2 linked regions of the Diceros bicornis minor genome follow. The protein of the gene in region 1 interacts with the protein of each later gene in a pairwise test. Links are inferred from orthologs where the notes say so. Each region holds a gene or a part of one and is shown on either strand. Other genes may lie near its edges. The genes, in order: CALCOCO1 and DUSP13B.

Region 1 (10,225 bases):
CTTGGCTCTCGGAACTGGAAAGCGGGGCTCTGCCCACAGACCCGGCCCTGGCGGTTCACGTATCGGAACTGGTAGAGCTGCGCCCCTGGTTTGGGCAGGTAGCTGGCTGTGGGAAGAACAGACCCAGGACCCCAATATGATCCCAGGCCCTCAAGTGCTCAGCAGGTCCCCCTTCCCCTTGGCATGTCTTAGTATCCATTGTCCTGACTCCAGCCCCTTGCTCCTTGTTCCATATACTATTTTCTCTCCTCTCCACCTCCCACAGGCTATTTCTGTTTCCTGGAATACTCTTCTCCCTCCTTTCTGCCTAGTCCTCCCCTACTTCTCCTTCTCAAACCTACCTTCCTCTATAATAATAATAATAATAATAATGCTAGCTACCATTTACTGAGCGCCCACCACGCACCAGCGACTGTGCTAACAGCTTTACCTGTATCATTTTAATCATCATATTGTCCCTGTAAGCCAGGCATCCCCTTTTACAGTTAAGATAACAGACACAGAGAAGTTAAGTAATTTGCACAAGGTCAAACAGCTTGTAAGTATTACAGCTGAGATCTGAACCCAGGTCTTTCAGAATCTAACGACCACTTTCTTCTCAATATATGACGCCACCTTTCCCTCTTCCCTACCCGCTAGCCCGTCCTTCCTTTGGTAGGAGGTGAGATTAGCTGCCCTCTACAGTTCTTTCCATCTCTAAATCCCTGATTCTGTGATAATCCCATGATTCTATGTCTGCTGAGCCCTGTTGAATGTATTTCTTATTTTATTTATTTGCACTTATTTTTCTTTGTCCTCTATGCCTAACTTTTACGCTTCTGAGCCCACTATCTTCTTCCAAATCTCCATCCCCCTGGCTCCTCCCTTTGGTTTTCCATCTTCCCTCGTACCTTGGAACTGGACACTGGCATGGACGGGGGAACCATCAGCTGCACTTTCAGGCACAGAAGACCACACAAATGTGTGGTAATCCCGAACACAGGCAGCCTCCACCTGTGAGAGCCCAAAGTGGGAGAGCGGTATGGCAGTGGAACTACCAGCTGCAGATGGCAGAAAGGGCTGAGGGAGTTAATGGCAGGATAGGATGGTGTTATGGTGGCAAGGATGATGAGAGACAGAGAAAGTGGAGGAACACTAATGTGTCAGGAGAGAGCAAGGCTAAGACGAGGAGAAGATGGCCTCTGTCATCTGTGACATCTTTCTCCCTACTTCTCTATCAACATGAGGCTGAGAATCCAAGAACCTAGTCATTCCCCTTATTCTGACCAACCCATGGCCCATGAACCTGAGCCAATAGGGGTTCCAGGGATACCTTGAAGATGCCAATCCAGTCGCTGGCACTGGGCATGGTGCCTGGGGGAAGGGTGTAGTGACATTCCACCTTGGTGTTGGGGATGTAGGTCCGGGCTACGTTCAGAAAGTTGACTCCACCCCGGGACGGTGCCCGGCTTAGTGACGATTCTTCCATCCTGCCCTTGAGATATCTGCCCTCCTATGAAACAAAGGGTTAATATCCTAAAGTCTCTCCACTCCATCTCTTTCTTCCCTAACTCCATCCTCACCCACCCACAGCCCTGCCACTACACCTGGAGATGAAGGCATATCTGCTTTCCAGCCCCTGAGGGTTACAGGAATCTTTAGAGGTATCATCCTTAGTCTCCAGGACAGAGGTCTGGTCTTCTGAGTCAGTTCCCACCCTGTCTCACTGCACCCTCTCTGAGTCACAGACTCTTCCTAGAGTTAAGATCTCTCTAATTTCTGCTCCCTTTTCATAGCCCCATTGACCAAGTCTCAGTGTCTCAGGCTCTGCCCCGCTCAGTCCCTCCTTTTCCACCTCTTAATGTCCTTCTTAATAGCCTCCATCTCCCTGTCCCATCCCCCACATCTTTTGGCTCTTGAATTCAAAATCCAACTGAGGTGTGGGGCCCCTTCATTCTGAGCAGATCTCCTCGCCCACTCCAGCTGTACCCAGGAATGACTTATGACACCTGAAAACAGCAACAACCTCTGAAAGCAATGATTGAGTCTTCAGAGCAGGAATATGGCTGGGGGGACAAGAGCCCAATCTTCAGGCCCCTGAGCTGTCTGTCCTCTCCCTCTTTCTGAGCTGTCTACCCCCATGAATAAAAAAAGGCTTCTGTTCTTATCCAAGACACAAAGGGAAAGGGAGGATATAAAGAAAGACAGGTCCTGTCCCTCAACTTCATTACTCCAGGAAGTCAAGAATTCTGGAGGCGGCTGCTTCAAGGGTGGAGTGCAACACTCCGCAGGAACGTGGTGCTGTGGGGCGATGGAATGTGGGGGCCTGGAGCCAGGAAAGCCCTGCCCCTGGCCAGGGGACAGACTGGAAGGTGGGAAGTAAGAGGCTCTGAGAAGGGAAAAATGTATATATAGTGTTGAGAGAAGGAGGAGAGAGTTCAAAAAAAACCTAACATTCTTCTCTTCAGGTCTTGCCTGGAGCAAGACTAGAAACCTACTGGTTTGACTGTATGTTAACCCAGCCCTAGTATTTCCCTCCCCATTTTCTCTCTCCTTCTCTTGGCCTCAATTCCAAGTGCCTGAATCCTTCCATCTGCTTGGATTGGTAGTGGGAGGCATGCTATAGGATGGGATTGAGAGGGAGAGGTGTCCCAAACTGGGTGGGGAGAGTTAATTGGAAAATCTGGGGGTGGGTGAGGAAAGATAACAATAACAATCAAGAGAACTCCTCAGCCCAGAGTTGTGAGATGGCCCTCTCATCTCTCCTCTCCAGCCCCCTAACCTTCACCCTGTGTCAGCAGCACCTGACAGTGTCCAATCAGCCATGGCCACTAGTCATGTGCATGCCCCCAAACATCACAAACCCACACCACGCTGAAGTCAGGGGGGCAGGAACTTTAAAAGAAGACAGAAACTCAGTACAGAAGGAAAGGTGGGCAAGCTCTGCAAAAAGGAGTAACATCTCCCTCCAAAATAGAGACTGACTTGAGGACAAGAGATTTCTTTGGCTTTTCATTTCTCTGAAAAATCCCTAGTTAAAACTAGTGCATGTTTTCTCCAAATACGATTCTTCTGGCTTTCTAAAGGAATGACTTGTCCCCAAAGATCTAAGCCGGGGGAACCCCAAATATGCCCCACAAATAAAATCCATAACAGCTGGAAACATTCCCCAGGCCTGAAAGAAAGCTCTGGGCACCTAAAGTGTATGTGTGTGGTGAGATTCAGGTGTTCAGAGGAAAGGGGTCCCATCCCCCCACTCTGTAGGACTCTAAAGTTCCTTGACATTCTACAGCTTGGAATGTTTTTTCTCCAGGGATTCAGCGTAGTAAAGGCCTTCGGATGGGGTACGGGAGGTAAGGGGAAAGGGAAGGTTTGTGGTGGCCAACCCGTGCCTGGGAGAAAATGAACAAAGATTTCACCTCCCCCCAACTCCCCTGAGCGTATCAAGCTTTACAGAGAAGGACTGAGAGGTACGTGAGAACAGCGAGGGGGCAACCCCCTGATCAGGGCCCCCCTGAGGCCAAGAACTCCCCAAAACAGTAGTGGTGGCTTCTCCAGTACGGAAAGTGTTAAAACCCAAACGCTCCTCTATCCCCCTTCTACAGCTCCCTTAGATTATCCTTTCACAGACTGGAAAGCGGGGTGACCCCCCATAAGATCACCCCCAAATTAGGCCAAGTTTCTTACCCCTCAGACGGATCAGCTGTTCCCTCACCTTTCACCAACAACAAAAACAGCACTCCGACTCGGGGTGGGGAGGGAGAAGAGTGGGCGCGAGGGCTTCTGGGGTTTGTGGTTCCTCTGCGTCCTTTTGCCGGCGAGCCTGCTCGGATCTGGGACTACGCAACCCAGGAGGCTGTGCGCAAGGAGGGCGGAGCAGAGGGCGGCCGTGGAGGCGGCCTCACCACGGCATCCTGGGAGGCGTAGTTCTCACTTCCGTGATGGTAAACGAGGGTATGTCCACCAAAGGACTTCACGGCCCATGATTCCTTAGGAGAGGGCCGGCTGTATTAGTGGTGACTACTGGTTTGTAACGTGCGTGGTTGGGGGGTGGGGAGGAGTTACGGCTCTAACGCCTCCTGTGCGTGTAGCGCTTTGCAGGGGGCGGAGCGTGTTCGGCTTCACGCTCCCGTTTACTTTTCGCAACAACGTGTGAGGTTGGTAATACGCATTTTACGGATGAAGAAACTAAAGCTCAGAACGGTTAAGGCAGCAGTCTCAAGTAGCAAAGCTGTAAGATGGTGGAACTCCATCTGTAAGATGGTAGAACTTTGCCGCTACCATTGAGGGGACGGGGAACTGATGGCTGCGCTAGCAGTTTCTTCTTTGCGTCAACCTCAGGGACAGCCCCTGTAAAAACTGTGTGTTGTGTACTGCTGGCTATTTTTTTTCCAACTTGAGAGTTTCAGTGCCAGGGACCTGGACTGGGCTGCCGTAGTGTGGTCTCTAGGTCGAGGAAGAGGATCCATTGTCTGAAGTGTGTGTGTAGGGGGAGGTGAAGTAAGAACGAAGCTGAAAGGGGAGCCTGGCATAGTTCAGGGCCGGTCACAGCTCACCAACAAGCCACTTACAGGGGCTGGTTTGCCCAAGCCTTTTAACTGGCTTAAGCTAATCAGGATAACAATACATGTTGTTGCTCTTGTTTTTATCGGGTGTGTGTGTGTGTGTGTGTGTGTGTGTGTGTGAAAGATTCATACTCTTCCCATACCCCAAGTCACCGTTAAACACTGGGGCATCATGCCCCACCCCTCCTTCCCTGGGACCTTCCAGATCGTCTGAGGCTTTTGAAACCATCTCTCTCCCTGTCCTTGTATTAAGGAATTACAGTCTAAGGATTGATTTGCTCTTCCTGGTACCTGCTTTAATTCCCTGCTGCACTAAGTTATGGAGCCTCTGCCTTTCCCATGTTTTTTGGTAGTATTTTGCTTTTATGACTGAATAGGGTGTCTTGTGCCTGCCCTTGGGTCCCTTTCATCTGAAGATCTCCAAGCACTTAACAATAAGTCACTGGGCTTCACAAACATTAAGGTGACATGTCTGTGTCATTAGTCAGGATTTATGAGTTAGAAAACAGGCTGCTGGGGGAGGAGACGGCTCAAGGTCTAGAGTGGGTTAAGAGTGAGGCTCGTTCAGGGAGGCAAGTCTCAAGTGTTCTTGGTTTTTGTCTTCCACCCAGAATAAAAGCTTGGAAGAAAACTCAGTCTCAGCTGGAGCTAAAAATAATAACAACTTCCATTTACTGGGTGCTTATAATGTGTTTAAACTATGCTAAGAATTTTTCCATTTGACACAACAACCTTATATAGTAGGCCCTATTATTATCCCCATTTTACATATGATGAAGATTGAGGTGCAGACAATTAAGTGACTTAACTAGGGTCATCCAACTAGTAAGTGGTAGAATCAGGATTCAAGCACAACTAGTCAATACACCATACTCCCACCCCAGAAACTCCTGGTATGTGATACTAACACTGATTGTTCTAAGGAACAGTGCTATTAATTAATAAGGGGACGAATGTTCCCTTGCATTTATGTGCAAGGCACAAGTTGATGTGAAACAGATTCATTGAACAAATACATGTGTCAGGCACTATGCTAGGTATTCAATACAGTTTGCTGAAAGAATGAATATAAAATATAGATATTTGAAGGATGGATTAGATTTGGATAGTTTGGCAGGACAACGTCTAGGAAGGATAAGCTCATTTCAGGCTGAAGCAAAGGTTCACAGGTTTACTGGAGGCTAGGAGGTCACATAAGAACAGGGCATCATGGGGCCGGCCCGGTGGCCTAGCGGTTGGGTGTGCACGCTCTGCTACTGGTGGCGCAGGTTTGGATCCCGGGCGCGCACTGACGCACTGCCTCTCCGGCCATGCTGAGGCCGTGTCCCACGTACAGCAACTAGAAGGATATGTAACTATGACTTGCGACTATCTACTGGGGCTTTGAGGAGAAAGGAAAAAAAAAAAGAACAGTGCATCAATTTCAACTTTTTTTTCTTTCAAATTCAGATTATTGGTAATGACTGCCCAATGTTGTGTTGAGAAGGATTCTGAGGCAAGAGTGCTGGGATTAATTAGTAATGTCTGTCATGTACTCCAGATGGAAGATGGCAGTTGTAGTAGATTGATTTATTGTTTGAAAGTGTTTACTTTCTCCTTCCCTGCCCGTTGCCACGTGTCTTGCAGTATCTTCTGTAGAAGGAGTATATGTCTCATTTCATTGACTTTGAACTTGATCATGTTTCATATTTTGACCAATGAGATGTGAACAGATGTGACTCATGCCATGTCTGAGCATGTGAGTTTCCTTTTCTTGTTCTCTCCATTAGAATGGGCCTATTTCACATGAGAGTTGCTCCTTCTGCCTGTGTCCTGGAATGAGAAGAGCCGTGGAGCAGAGCTGCAGCCTGCCCACAGCCTACGTACACGAAAGTCAGAAATAAACCGTGTTGCTGTAAGCCACTGAGATTTGGGGTTGATGTTGCAGCAAAGCTGACTCATAGCCATACCTGGTTAATGGTGTCAAGGTTGAAAGGTAAGTGGTATCAGGTTTGAAAGGTAAGTTTCAGCTAGAGTGTGGAGAATCTTGAATGCCAAGCAAGGCAGAGCCTGCCATGTGTTTATCAGAATCTCTTTCCTTCTTTTTCTTGGACACACAGCTGGACTGCATTTTTCAGTTTCCCTTTAAGTGACATGTTCCACTTCCAGGCCTGGCCCATGAAACCTCCCAAGGGAGATCCTTCATGTCCTTTCCTTTTTGGCTTGATGTGTATGATCTTAAGCATAGTGACCTTGAAAGTACAAATGTTAAAGATGTGGGGACAGAGGTTAGAAGGAACCGAGTTCTCTGAATCACCACTTGGCAGAGAATGGCCCGCTAATCAGGAACATGCGTTTTGGACTTCACTTAACTAATAAATCAATTTCTGTTTTGCTACACCACTAAAGTTTTGGGCCGTATAGTAGCTAGTGTTTTTCTAACCACTAATACATCAGGTTATAATGTTTGGACTTCATTCGCATCAAGAATAGGGAGTTAGCCACTGACAATTTTTTTTAACAGGGGGACTAATACTGTGAATACCCGTGGAAGTGACAGTTATTGGGATTACAGAATACTTCTGAGTGAGGTTGTGAGATCTTGGGACTGTTGGTGTTTTCAGATTACAGAGAACTCCTGACTGGGGCTGGGGAAGATTGAAATGATCTTTGAAAGGCTCTCTAGAGGCGTGGAAGGAGCTGCTACAAAATGAATCCTATCTTCCTGAAGTTTAAAGTCTCTTTTCTCCTTTGTGAAAGGCCTAACTCTGGTATTGCTTCTCTAGCCCAGTGCCTGATATATAATACATGGTGAAGGGAAGCTGGTCCTGGACTCGTGGAATGCTTTGAGGAGCTACCACTAGCTGAGTGTCCCCTATATGAGAGGCTCTTTCACCCATCAAACCATCACACCACCACGCAAGGTGCTCTCAAATGTTTCAGACGAAGAAACTGAAACTCTCAGGGTAACTTGCCCAAGGTCTCTCAGACCAAACTTATTCTGAAACCCATGTCTTTTCCAATATAACAAGATGCTTTTGCAGAAAATCATAATGGCTAGTGTTTACTGAGTGCATGCCGTGTACCAGGCACTCTGCTGGGTGCTTTCAAACATGCAGAAGCAGCTGGTGTGTCAGATATTGTAGGCTGTTACTAGTGTTTCCAAACTGTGGGCTCTGTGGGAAGTAGGTGTCAGAGTCTGCTCGGGCTGCCATAACAAAATGCCATAGGCTGGGTGGCACAAACAACAGTAATTTATTTCTCACAGTTCTTGAGGCTGGAAAGTCCAAGATCAAGGTGCTAGCTGAATCAGTTCCTGATGAAGACTCTTTTCCTGCCTTGTAGACAGCTGACTTCTCACTGTGTCCTCACATGGAGGAGAGTGAGAAAAAGCAACCACTCTGGTCTCTACTTATAAGGGCACTAATTCCATCATGAGGGCCCCACCCTCATGACCTCATCTAACCCTGATTACTTCCCAGAGGCCCCATCTCCAGATAGCATCACGTTGCAGTTCAGGGCTTCAACATATGAATTTTGGGTGGACACACACAGTCAGTCCATTACAGTAGGGAAAACATTAACATGATTTTAGAGCAAAGTCTGATTCTTTTGGACTTTTCTTTAGGGCTCCTGACCCATTTTCTTTTGATCCCCTTAGTTCTTTGGCTCCATTTTCCTTGGGCTGGGTGGAAGGGTGGTTTGGGGTTCTTAGTAACACTTACGTCCTGCAGCTCCTGGTTCACTCCATAGACCCACAGACCCTCTCTGATCTCAAAGTGTTCAGATGACCTTAGTCTTTCCTTTATTAGTGGGGAGTAAGATGCGGCTCTGAGAACTCGTCCATCCATTTATTCACATTCATTCGTATTTAATCATTCAACAGATTTTTAATAAACATGTGTCAACTGTTAGAATAATAGCCAATGACATTTGTAGCTTTCTGGTTTCAAAGGCCATCTACATTCTTGGATTCATTTGATCCTCAGAACCAATACTATGAAGTGGATTGTATTATTACTATGTAATTTTTATCAATGAAGAAACCAATGCTTAGAAATATTAAGTAACTTGATCAAAGTCACACAGCTAGTATGAGATTCAAATCAAGAATTTCTGACTCTTAAGTGCTCCCCTTTGCCCTCTATCCATCACAGTCTAAATTCTACAGTGCGCCGAGCCTCATTTCTTGCGATTTTGGCCTCATTACCTTGATTCTGCATTAGTTAGGGTAGATATAACAGCTACAACAGACACCCCCCAGATCTCAGTGTCTTAACATGATAAAGATTTATATGTCATATAGTCCAGTGTGTATGTTTGTGATCAGATAACTCAGGAATCCAGATCTGTTCATGCTGGGGATCTGCCATCTTAAATATGTGGCTTCAGGGGGAAGAGAAAGCAAGTGGAGAATGTACCACTCTTAACTTTCTCAGCGTGGAAGTTACACATCGCTTCCACTTGTATTCCATTGGTGATAACCAGTTATATGGCCTCACCTCACTGCAAGGGGGCTGGGGATGGAGTTTAGCCATGTGCCCATGCCACTCTCTATCAATGTGGGGTTGAGTCAACATTCCAGAGTTGTTCTGGGACAAAAAATGCCTCTGGAGAGAATGATTCTAATCTGTCCACTGTTCATATCTCTATTTGTCTCTCACTCGTTCCACCAGAATTCACAGAGCACCAACTTTGTGAACCACTCATAGCCAAAGATCTCCTGGCTGAAGAACACATTGGAGCCCAGCCAACCAAAATGTTAGTGGGGCATCGGGCCCAGGCTGATTGGTGATGGAAGTGGTCTTTTCCCCTCAAGAGAGTGTTATTCCTATAGTTTTTCTTTATTTTTATATTCTATTGAAAAGTTTAGAAATTTTTACCCTATCACAAAATAAACAGAGCTGTGTTGTGGTCACAATTTAGGTAGTTGATTTCATGAACTTGACAGTTCTATCAGTTTTCCAGCTGTTTCAAAATACTTCTCTCTGGGAAACTGTGTGGGTAGGCATATCCCCTATGCTCCCCAGGCCTCCCCAGTGCCATGGGAATGGAGAGGGTTAACCCTGGAGCCTGGGAAAACAATAAGAAGGCAGCTCAGTCCTCTCGCTGGGAACTGACTCTCATCTGATAGAGAGAATGGAGCAAAGTAGAGAAACTCAAGAGTTCTTTAGGAGGTAGCATGGGCAGGGTGTGGGGTGTGAAAGAGAGGGAGGCAGGATATTTTGATTCTTGAAGTCATTTTGATGCCTGTGGACATATGACCCTAAAAAAGTTAAACTTTAGCTTTTAAAAAAAATTGTCACTTAAGTCACTTAATGTGTGCAACAGACTCCCTTGTCTCATCCCTAACGCAGGGAGAGGGAAGACTCATGGCTGATCCCAGCTTCCTGGCTTGGTGGATGGTGGTCCCTCCTTGAGATGGGGACCTTGGCGGAAGGAGCAGATTTTGGGGTGGGGCTGGGTGGGGTTGGGATGGGGGAGGATGTTCTTCTACTTCTAGACATAGAGGGTTTGAAGTACTTCCTGGTCTCCAGAAAGCCATTCCTTGTGCTGTGGAGCTCAGCCTTCCCGACCATCTTTCTGTAGCTCCAAACTTGCTCTTTTTTTTTTTTTTAATTTTTATTTATTTATTTTATTTTTATTTCCCCCAAAGCCCCAGTAGATAGTTGTATGTCATAGTTACACAGCCTTCTAGTTGC
Region 2 (9,360 bases), on another chromosome or scaffold:
GCAGCCTGAGGAAAGTGCAGGTAGACAGACAGACAAAGGCGTAAGTGGGGTTCAGAGCAGGTCTTTAGACCAGCTCTGGCCGGCAGTCAGAAACTGTGTATCCAGAAGCCACTCTGCCCTCTGCCAAGCTCCTCTCTCCCCGAGAAGGCATTCCTGGCCCAGGCCCCACTGGGCCTTAAAGACTCAGCAAGATGGTCTTTAAGGTCCTTCCCAAGGCTAACTGTGGTCAGTTAGGGACCTTAGATTTGGGCCTGTTAAGAACACTCCCTGCTATCCAGAGACCCTCCTCATATACCCATACTTCAGGACTCTTCCCGCTCACACCCCCAGAGAACTGACACACACAGAGACAGACGCATACCCACAGCTGCCCCTACACTGGGTCTCTGAAGTCTGAGCTCCAGGGAGCTAGGGCTCAGCCCCTGCTGGGGCTCCCAGAGCCCTGGGGAGAAATGGTGGAAGCAGGTGTGGCCAAGGGCTATCATGAACACTAAGAATCCCCTCCCGCTTTCCTCCCACGCTCCCCCCGCTGCCCCAAGGAAACTTGGGGTCCCAGGCTGAATCATCTCAGGTCTTGGCTGAGAGGGCAGCCCATTCCCACCTGTGGGGACTGAAGACAGTGACTGAGAGGGAGTGCAGGCAGCTGGAGGAAGCAGATGGAGTAGCAGGCTCTAGGGCGGACCCCATACTGGGCTCTTACCATCTTCTGGGTATCCACCTGGGCCAGAGCCTCCAGCAGCACCAGCAGGGCCAGCGCCAGGGTGGCAAAGTGGCAGAGCCCTGTGGCAGGGTGTGCGGACCGGCTCTGGGGGAGAAATGAGCTCCATGTTACAGGCAGGTAAACCAAGGCCCAGATTGGCTGGGACTCATCAGGGCAGGAGCAAGATTAGGAGCCACCTAAATCTGCTTCTGCCTTGAGCCTTCCGTGCCTGGTCAAGTGGGTACAGGTGCTGGGAGAGATGAGGAGGCGGGTTTGGGGCCCAGGGCTCATGGGGAGAAATGACTGTCCTCCTCATCTTTCAGAGTCACCAGCCCCAGGGCTGCTGTGTACAGCTGCACAGTCTGCACGCTGCACAACTCCTGGGGAATTGTGCAATGCTGTAGCCCAACTGACTCCTCCAAAGCCAGCTGCCTGATGAGAAAGATGCTGAGGTTGGAGGTCAGGACATTTAAGGGCCCAGGCCAAGGAAGTGGAGTGATTTGGGCATGATCAGAGATCTACTGCTCTGCCAGGTTCCTGAAACCTGTTTAGAGGAAAGAGAGTAGGACGGGAACATGCCATTCCTGCCCCTCTCTTGGCTCCTCATACCTGTAGAGCTCTCCACAACAGTTTCCCACCCAGCTCAGCCCAGACTTAATCCCAACCCCAGCTATAACCCTAATTTTCTCCCATTACACTCACCCCTGAAACTCTAAACCCTCTGTCCTGCCCTAATCCCCATCGCCAAGATGCTCATCCTCCCGACAGCTTGTGTGAAGGGGTTGATATTGCTCAAGTGCTTCCATTTGGTTGGGCGGGTATGCGTTCAGAGACAAAACAGCTCCTATGGGTGGGGGGCAGGAGGAGATTCCGGCCATGCCCCGGAAGCTCTCGGCAGGAGGAGAAACCTGCTGCTTTTCCAACTCCCAGGAGAGCCTAGGCCAGTCACCCACCCAGAGCAGGCAGCCCCTCTGAGCCAATGGCTGGGGCATAGCCAAAGTCAGTGTTGAAGAGAGATGAGGGAAGGAGCAGTATGGGTAGCAGGAGCTGCAAGCAGGGTAGGGGGAGCAGAGAGCCGCCCCAGAGGCCTAACCCCCAGCTGATGGCCCTCGGAGGGATGTGAGTGTGAGGAAGGCGGGCTGTTGGGGCCAGACAGGGACAGACCCAGCCTGGGCATGGTGGGAGAAGAAGGGCAGTGGGCACTCTGCAGCTCCCTCACAATCCTGGTGCCCTCACAGCCACTCCACCCCAGGAAGAGACACCCCTGCCTCCTCCCAGCTGAGCTGGAGGAAAACACGGGATTGATGCCAAAGAAATGGAAGCAGCACCTCGGTGAGCATTTGTGGGCTGGGAGCCTGAGAAGCAGTGTTGCTGCTGGGGGAGCCCAACTCCTTCTACTGGGCAGCTGGGGACACTGGAGCCTCCAGCAGGAGGGAGGACACTTGGGGAGAGGAGGTACTGGGGACCTGTTCCCCTTGTGCATCTTAAGGACCATCTGCTATTGCTCCAAATGCACTGAACACAGAACAAAAAGGCAGGGGGTAAACGGAAGCAGGAAGGAGTGAGGATAGACTTCAGGAAGACCTTTTTGCCCTAAAGGGGTCACCAGAACCAGAGAGAGAGGGCAGTTAGGGAGGGTCCTTCTGTAGATCTCTGAGCTCAGATTGGGGGAGGGAGTGGGGTGCTGGGTCCAAGGCAGAGAACTGAAAAGGCATGATGATAGGAGAACTTGGTATCAAGCAAGGCTTGTGTGAGGAGGTCCTGGCTGGGGGCAGGAGCACCTGTTCTCCTTCCCCATGATGGGAATGGGGAGGGAGGGCTGACATGAGAATTAATTAAGCTTGGATTCATAGCACAGCCACACTCTACTTCCCCAGAGCTGTGGCTGGGGTCCAGACCTGAGGGGAAGGGATGCAGAGGTGCAGGAAGGTCCAGGCAGTCCTCAGGTGCCAGGACTGGCTGTGTTGCTGCCTTGGTGGGGTTCAGGTGAGCCCCACAGGCTATCTGCCAAGGAGGCAGGGCAAGTCAGTATCAGGACCAGGGAGGAAGGCCTCACCTCTTCCATTTCATGCTTTCTACCCCTTTCCTTCCTAGCCTTTTCATCTTCTCTGGGGGCTCAGGAATCTGGGTGGGCTGGGTGAGAGAGAGGGTCCTACCAGAGGGTTGCTTTGGCTGGGGCCTGTTGAGACCTTGGGTTGGTGAGGGGAGCCCAACAGGTTGAGGAGTGGCCCAGGCTGTCTTCAACCCTCACTTCCTGCCACACACAGCCCCGACAACCAACCTCTGAACTGGTCCCACCCATGTCCCCTGCCAGCCCTCACCTGAGCCCTTTCTTCCAATTGTACCCTTGCCCCTGCCCAGCCCCTCATCTGACCTTTCACTTTCAGCCCTCACCAGCCTCCCCTTCCATTCTCCCTGCCCACCCCTCACCTGATCTCACTTCTAACTGCACTCAGCCCCCTCCCACCCCCGCCCCCACATGCCCTGCCCAGCCCTCACCTGGCCCCTCAGCTCCGGCCTGCACCACGCAGCTTCTGGTCCAGCTGGCAGAGCTGGTGGAGGAAGCCTCGGTTGGGGAAGATCCATCGGCGCTGCCTCACAGTGATCACCGCCTGGCGCAGGGACAGCTGCTGGCGAAGCATGAGGTAGGCCAGGACCAGTGTGGCGGAGCGGCTCACACCTACCACACAGTGCACCAGGACCTTGGCTGAGGAAGACATCCTGGTGAAAGACCTTTTCCCACGAGCTGCCCCACCCAGGGGCTGGGGTGGACACCCAACTTCCTTTCCCTGCTCTGCCTTAGGTGCATCTGTGACCCTGGGCAAGTCATTCAGCCTTTATGGGCCTCAGTTTCCTGATCTGTCAAATGAGTAGACCAATACCTCTTTTGCCTACCCTTGGGATGGGGTCCAACTCCTTAACATTGCTTACAAGACCCTCTGTGCACTGGCCCCTACTGAACCTGCAGACTCACCTCAGGCCATCCCACCCAACCCTCAGCTCTAGGAACACTGTGTAACTTTCAGTTCCTTGAAGCTGTCATGATCTCTGGCCTCCAGCCTTAGCACATGCTATTTCAACTACCTGTAAAATTTTTCCCTGCTCTTAGTCTAACTTCTACTACTAATCGGTAAGGTTTCAGCTGAGACATGGCTTCCTCACCTAGGCTTTCTTAACCATTCATGGTATCGCTTGAATCACAGAGTGGTTCATCCTTTTTGCATGTGGCCCAGTGAATACTGTTGTAGAAGGAAGTCTCCCCACCTCCCTGATCCTCTGAGCACTCCTGCCCTGTGCTGCCATAGCTCTTCACATCTGCCCACTCATATGAGTAGCACTCATAATACTTCCCATTTTGACTGTCTTTCCATGAGGGCAGGGACTCTGCCTTGTCTAAGTGTAGATTCCTAGTGTCTAGCTCTGTGCCTGGCACACAGAAGATAATACATAGCTGGTGAATGAATGGATGAAGAACAAATGATGTCAAAGTGCTTTGGATATTAAAAAGTGCTATGAGCCATAGTTTTGTCTTTCCCATCATACAGATGAGAAACTGAAGTCCAGAGAGGGACACTGGCTTGCCCATGGGGGGGTAGCAAGGGCACAGCTCTCATCCAGGATGCAAAGGGCAGGGGCTCCAGCTTTCCCAGGCTCCTTTGTTGTACCCTGGGTATTAGGAGATTTTTTTCCATTTGGTAGTACCCTGGGGGAGAAACCAGATATCTAGGTACCAAATGGTGATTTCCCAAGGCTGAGGGATGCAGAGAGAAAGAACTATCTTGCTGTTTGGGAGACCTGGCTTCTAGCCCCAGGGCTGCTCCTAATTCATGGCATGACCTTGTATTCTAGGCCTCAGTTTCCCCATCTGTGAAGCAATGCAGTTGGATAAATTGCTAGAGCACTGAGCAGAGGATTTTAAAAAACTTGATGGCTTTTTAAAAACTAGGGATAGGAGGGGACTGATGTTTGAGGGGAAACTGGACATCCCCCCAGTGACTGAGCAGGATGGGATGAGGGTTCACACCCCAACTCCTACCCCCAGGTGTGCTGAGGGCACGGTGGATGAAGTCAGCTGCAGAGCAGAAGTAGGCACTGATGTCGAAATCAGGGAGGTCAGGGGCTGGCACCCCCAGGTAGGTCACACTGCTGCCGTAGAAGTCAGGACCGCCCTGGCAGAAGAGGCCCCCATGGGCAGCGTTCAGCACGTGGGTGATGCCCAGCTTCCATAGCTCAAAGCGGTTATTTGCTGTGGTCCTGGGGAGGGGAGGAAAGGGGCTGGATGCTGGCTGAGCCATGGGGTCCAGGAAGGTGGCTCTGCTTGGCCCCCTGTTTCAGAGGGATGAAGCCTTTAGGGTCCAAAGGGAGTTGGAAGGAACCCAGCAAGCTTGAGATGGGGTCCACAGCTCACAGCCCCACCCTCAGAGCTTTCTGGTGGAAGAGGTGGTGGTACAAGGAGTTATCTTTAGGCCGTCTTTGCTACCTGAGGCTATCTGCCCCTGCCTTGGCTACGACAGGAGGGAAAGGATTGCTTCAGCCCTGGGACCCAGCTGCCCCTCCCTTCCTGCCCCGTGCTCTCCCACGCACATCCGGCCTCTCCTGGCCACTACCTCATACCTAATGATGCAAATGTTTAGAAGTGACACCTTCCCTGATTCACCTTCAGTCAGGCTTCCTCACCCACTTTGTGTCCAGAGGAGGAAAGCTGGGACTGGGAAGGGGAGCTCTGTCACCCCATCTCATACCCCAAATCACCATTCCTCAGACCTCTACCCGCTTAGACTCGCCAATTGTCCTGGTTGTGCCAGAAGACTCCAGGAACTGGGAGCTCTCATCTTTCAGGCAGGCAAAGTCCATGCTCCCCCTGGTGGCTACACCTGGTCACTGCACTGTCCCCAGCACATGGGGGTCCTGGAGAAAGTCCTTGGCCTGGGATGCTCAGAGCAGAAGTATTTCTCCTTGTTCCCATCCCACTCCCATCTCTGGTAAAGAGCCCAAGAACGGCCTCTCCTTGTCCCCACCCCCACACCTCTTGGGCCAGCTACCACTCACGCATCTCCTATGTAAAGGTTCGGCCAAACTTCGTCCACGTGGCTGCAAGAAACTTTCCCCGCCCTCAGGAGCTCCTCCAGTTCCAGGACGCTGGGGCAAGGCGTGGCTTCGGCATCTCCCCTCTGCTCTGGGAGTGAGGCCTCAGCCATGGGCCAGCCCACCCACTCCTCTGTCTCTGCAGTCACTCCTCTCTGCCTCTCCAGTGTCATTTCTCCTTCCCGGAGATTGGCAGGGACAGGTGGGACAGCAGCAAGTGACTCTGACTCAGCAAGTCACAGAGGCCTATACAGAAAACAGGACCTTTTCCTCCCCAAGTTTCTCCCATCCCCAGACTCTGTGACAACATAGAATCAGACATACCTCTGCAAGTCACTTTCTCTCTCAATCTCAGTTTCTTCACCTGTCAAGTAAGATAATTACACCTACCTTACAGAATTGTGAGGATTAAATGAAACAAATGATGTTCTGTGTCTAACACATAGTAGATGCTGTAAAAAAAAGGTGTTTAAATAACAGATTTAGAGCCCTGAATAAGGCTATTTGGTTGTGAGGACTGAATTAAAGTAGAGATCCAGGGTGGAGAGGAGGTTGTAGGCTCCAAGGATGAATGACAGAAAAAGTTTTGTAGGTCTGGGTGCGCCACAAACTAGGTGGGAACCGTATGACTGTTGGATGAGCCTTCAGATTATGGGGCCCAGGGGAAGTTTCCTGAGTTGTACAGCCACAGAAAAGTGGAGAGGAGGCATAGAGGACCTGACCTCATCTAAAGGGTGCCCACAGGGTTCATGGGGGAAGATTTGAAGAATGGTTCTGTAATGAAGATGGCTGATTTCTCAAAAGAGAAGGCTGAAAGGGGCCATGTATGTCAAAAGGGAAGAAGGGAGGTGGAAAAGTCAAAGGGCCTAACCATCATCAGAAACATTTTTGAGGTGGGAGGGAGATTTCCTCTGCCTATAAGGGCTTTTGTCCCCACAACAGAAACTGAGAAAGGTCTACATCTGTCCTTCTGTCAGAGCTAGTTATCGGCAGAAGAGGTGAGATGTCTCGCCCGCTCTCAGGTCACTGCATGAAGGTCCTGATGCGGCTGGGAGGGGTACGAACTGCGGTGGGAAGGCTCCTGGCTGCCCCTGGCCCTGAGTCCAGCTTGAGGGTAAAGGCCACACCAGGACATCCCTTGGAAGCAGTCTGCATTCATGTCCACCCCACCCTGCACAGCATGAGGAAGCAAGGCCAAGGAGGTGATAGAGCCAGGCAGCAGGTGGCTTTGGACTTGGTTTATACCGATGCTAGGCCTAGGTTGGGGACTTCCCTCAGGATGGGGTGGTATAGCAGAGTGAGAAGAGCATAGATTCTGAGGTTAGACAGATTTGAGTAGGAATACTGGCTTTGGCACATATTAACTGCCATACCTCAGGCAAATTTCTCGGTCCTTCTGTATTGTAATACCCCATAGAGTAGGCCCAAGGATTAAGTGAGATTTTTATATGGCATTTGACATAGGGACTGTCAAAGAATAAAGGGGCAATAAATGGTAACAATGATCATTGGGGGTTGACTCTTGGAAAGGGGCTGACTCCCTCCAAAGTTCTTAGAAAAACCTCCTTTAGCCCCCAAACCCCATTTTCTAATCCCAAAGGCCCCGCCCCACCTTCACTAGCCCCTTCTGCGTCGGCTTTGGGCCTGACGCATGCGCTCTCGGTTTTCCCTGCTGCGGTTTCCCTTCTCCGTTCTCCTCTAGAGCGCATCTTGAGCGCCGCGTCCCTTCCGGTTTGGGCCCCGCCCCCGCCGGTAGGGCCCCGCCTCCCAAAGCAGTTCCGGTTCGGATTCCGGCAGCTGCCGGCGCGGCTGAGACCCGGGCCGGAGCGATGCCTGCGCGCAGCCGCCACCGCCCCCGCGTCCACTCAGGCTCTCCTCCCCGGGCTCCGCCCCCGCCGCTCGAGGCTCTTCACTCCTGCGAGGCGCAGAGGGCCCTAGACTCCGACGGCGCCTCGGACGCCGACTCGGAGGTGGGTCCGGGGAGCCCGACTCGGACTGCGGAGGTGAGCGGGAGCAGAGGCGGAGGAGAGGGGAGTTTGGGGGGCGCCTGCAGCCGAGGGTGAGTGGGGAATCAGGGATGGAGGCGGGGACTGCTGAGGCCGAGGATCCGGAGGGGCCCCGGGAGACGGTTGAGGGAGCTTGGAGCTGCAGCTTTAGAATGGAATCTGAGGGAAATGGAGGTTGTTGAGCCAAGGGCCTGAAGGGGGTGACGATGGCCAGAGGCTGAGGGGTGAGTGGAGGCTGACGGGTGACGGGGAGTGGGAGACCGATGGAGATGTGGCCTTGAAGAGGCAAGGGCTCGGAGGTTTTTGAAAGCAGGATAGTGAGGGAAGAAGATTGAAGGGGTCCCGCATGAGTGTGGGGCCGGAGGAAGAGATGGTGTGGGGGTGAGGGATCAGAGGAGCAGGACCAGGGTCGATGCTACCACATGGCGAGAGAGAGGGAACCGGGTTGAGACTGACGAGATCGCTGACCAAAGTGGGGGTGGGGGTAATTAGGCAAAGGATTTAGGTTTGACTGGGAGAAGGACGGGCTGTCCGGTGGGAAGTCGCTGGCCTAAAGGGCCGAAGAAGAGAATTGTGGTCAAGAAAGACAAGGAGCCCTCAGGGATATAATTTAGGGCTTTGGCATTTTCACGTGTGTCTTTCAAAGCATCGAAGATCACTAGGGTAATGGATTATGGGGCTTTCTCGTTTGTGGACAGTGGATTCTTTTAAGAATCTGGGATGGGAGGGGCGGTGTTAAACACTGATTTGCTAAAGGACTGGGAAAAGTAGTGAAAAGGAAGTGTTGTTTGGAAAAGATAGTGAAAGGAGTGATTCTAAAAATAAAGATATCATTTGGATTTCTTTTAGCAGCAATAGTGTTTCTTTTTTTTCTTCATATTTATTTCTTAAATTTGTTTATTTTAAATACCAGACAAATTTAGATCTTTAAGAAAAAGATTTAATACATTACCTTTAAATTTAAGAAATTAAAGTCGAAACAAGAATTTGGACACTTAGGTTTTACAGATACTCAGTATTGAATGGTTCCACTTTGACAGCTTGAGTTGACCCAAGTATTTACCGCAGGGTAAAAATGTGGTCAATGGCAGGTGTCTGGGTTATAATGGTACATAAAACTAGATGTGAAATCACCACAGTCCAGGAGCTTACCAGATCTTCTTCTCACCTATAACTCCAAGATTGGAGTTACTTCGCTTGCAAATTGGAGGGGTACTTTTAACAGATTTGCAGGACCAATATTAGTGCAATTTTGTAGATACTGTATACATAATATTTTTAGTAGAGTGATCTAGAAAAATAAGAATAGAGGATACTTGTAGTTGGCAGTTAACAGAACTGGGACAGGTGGGTACACAGATGCTTTTTATAGAAGATATACTACCAAAACCACAATTGTGCCAGAAAAATAGTGATTACAGTATGTATATTCACTTTGTTACAAGTAAGGTAATTTCCTTTTGTAATTGTTAAATTATAATGGCTTCATGAAATCTTTGACTTGAGCCACATCTAGTATGTTGTTTTACCGTTACAACTTTTATCTGATTATAGGTTTTGCAAAGTTGT

The links.
Region 2: the proteins of CALCOCO1 (region 1) and DUSP13B interact in binary tests that used the Homo sapiens proteins (3 or more experiments, as listed by UniProt). The two-hybrid records come from large-scale screens. The link is inferred for Diceros bicornis minor from reciprocal best matches to the Homo sapiens genes CALCOCO1 and DUSP13B.

What each region holds. Positions count from the first base shown.
Region 1 is NC_080756.1:16,602,245-16,612,469, reverse strand, and holds the start of CALCOCO1 (calcium-binding and coiled-coil domain-containing protein 1), read right to left. Parts: upstream 3,738-10,225; 5' UTR 3,667-3,737; intron 1,493-3,666; 5' UTR 1,469-1,492; coding exon 1,313-1,468; intron 994-1,312; coding exon 891-993; intron 107-890; coding exon 1-106. UniProt on the Homo sapiens protein: Functions as a coactivator for aryl hydrocarbon and nuclear receptors (NR). Recruited to promoters through its contact with the N-terminal basic helix-loop-helix-Per-Arnt-Sim (PAS) domain of transcription factors or coactivators, such as NCOA2.
Region 2 is NC_080745.1:31,688,903-31,698,262, reverse strand, and holds the start of DUSP13B (dual specificity protein phosphatase 13), read right to left. Parts: upstream 3,713-9,360; 5' UTR 3,287-3,712; coding exon 3,200-3,286; intron 2,033-3,199; exon of another isoform or gene 1,927-2,032; intron 806-1,926; coding exon 602-805; intron 1-601. Other genes in the region: DUSP13A (dual specificity protein phosphatase 13), read right to left, coding at 4,636-4,954, 5,750-5,958; SAMD8 (sphingomyelin synthase-related protein 1), read left to right, coding at 7,615-7,788. UniProt on the Homo sapiens protein: Dual specificity phosphatase that dephosphorylates MAPK8/JNK and MAPK14/p38, but not MAPK1/ERK2, in vitro. Exhibits intrinsic phosphatase activity towards both phospho-seryl/threonyl and -tyrosyl residues, with similar specific activities in vitro.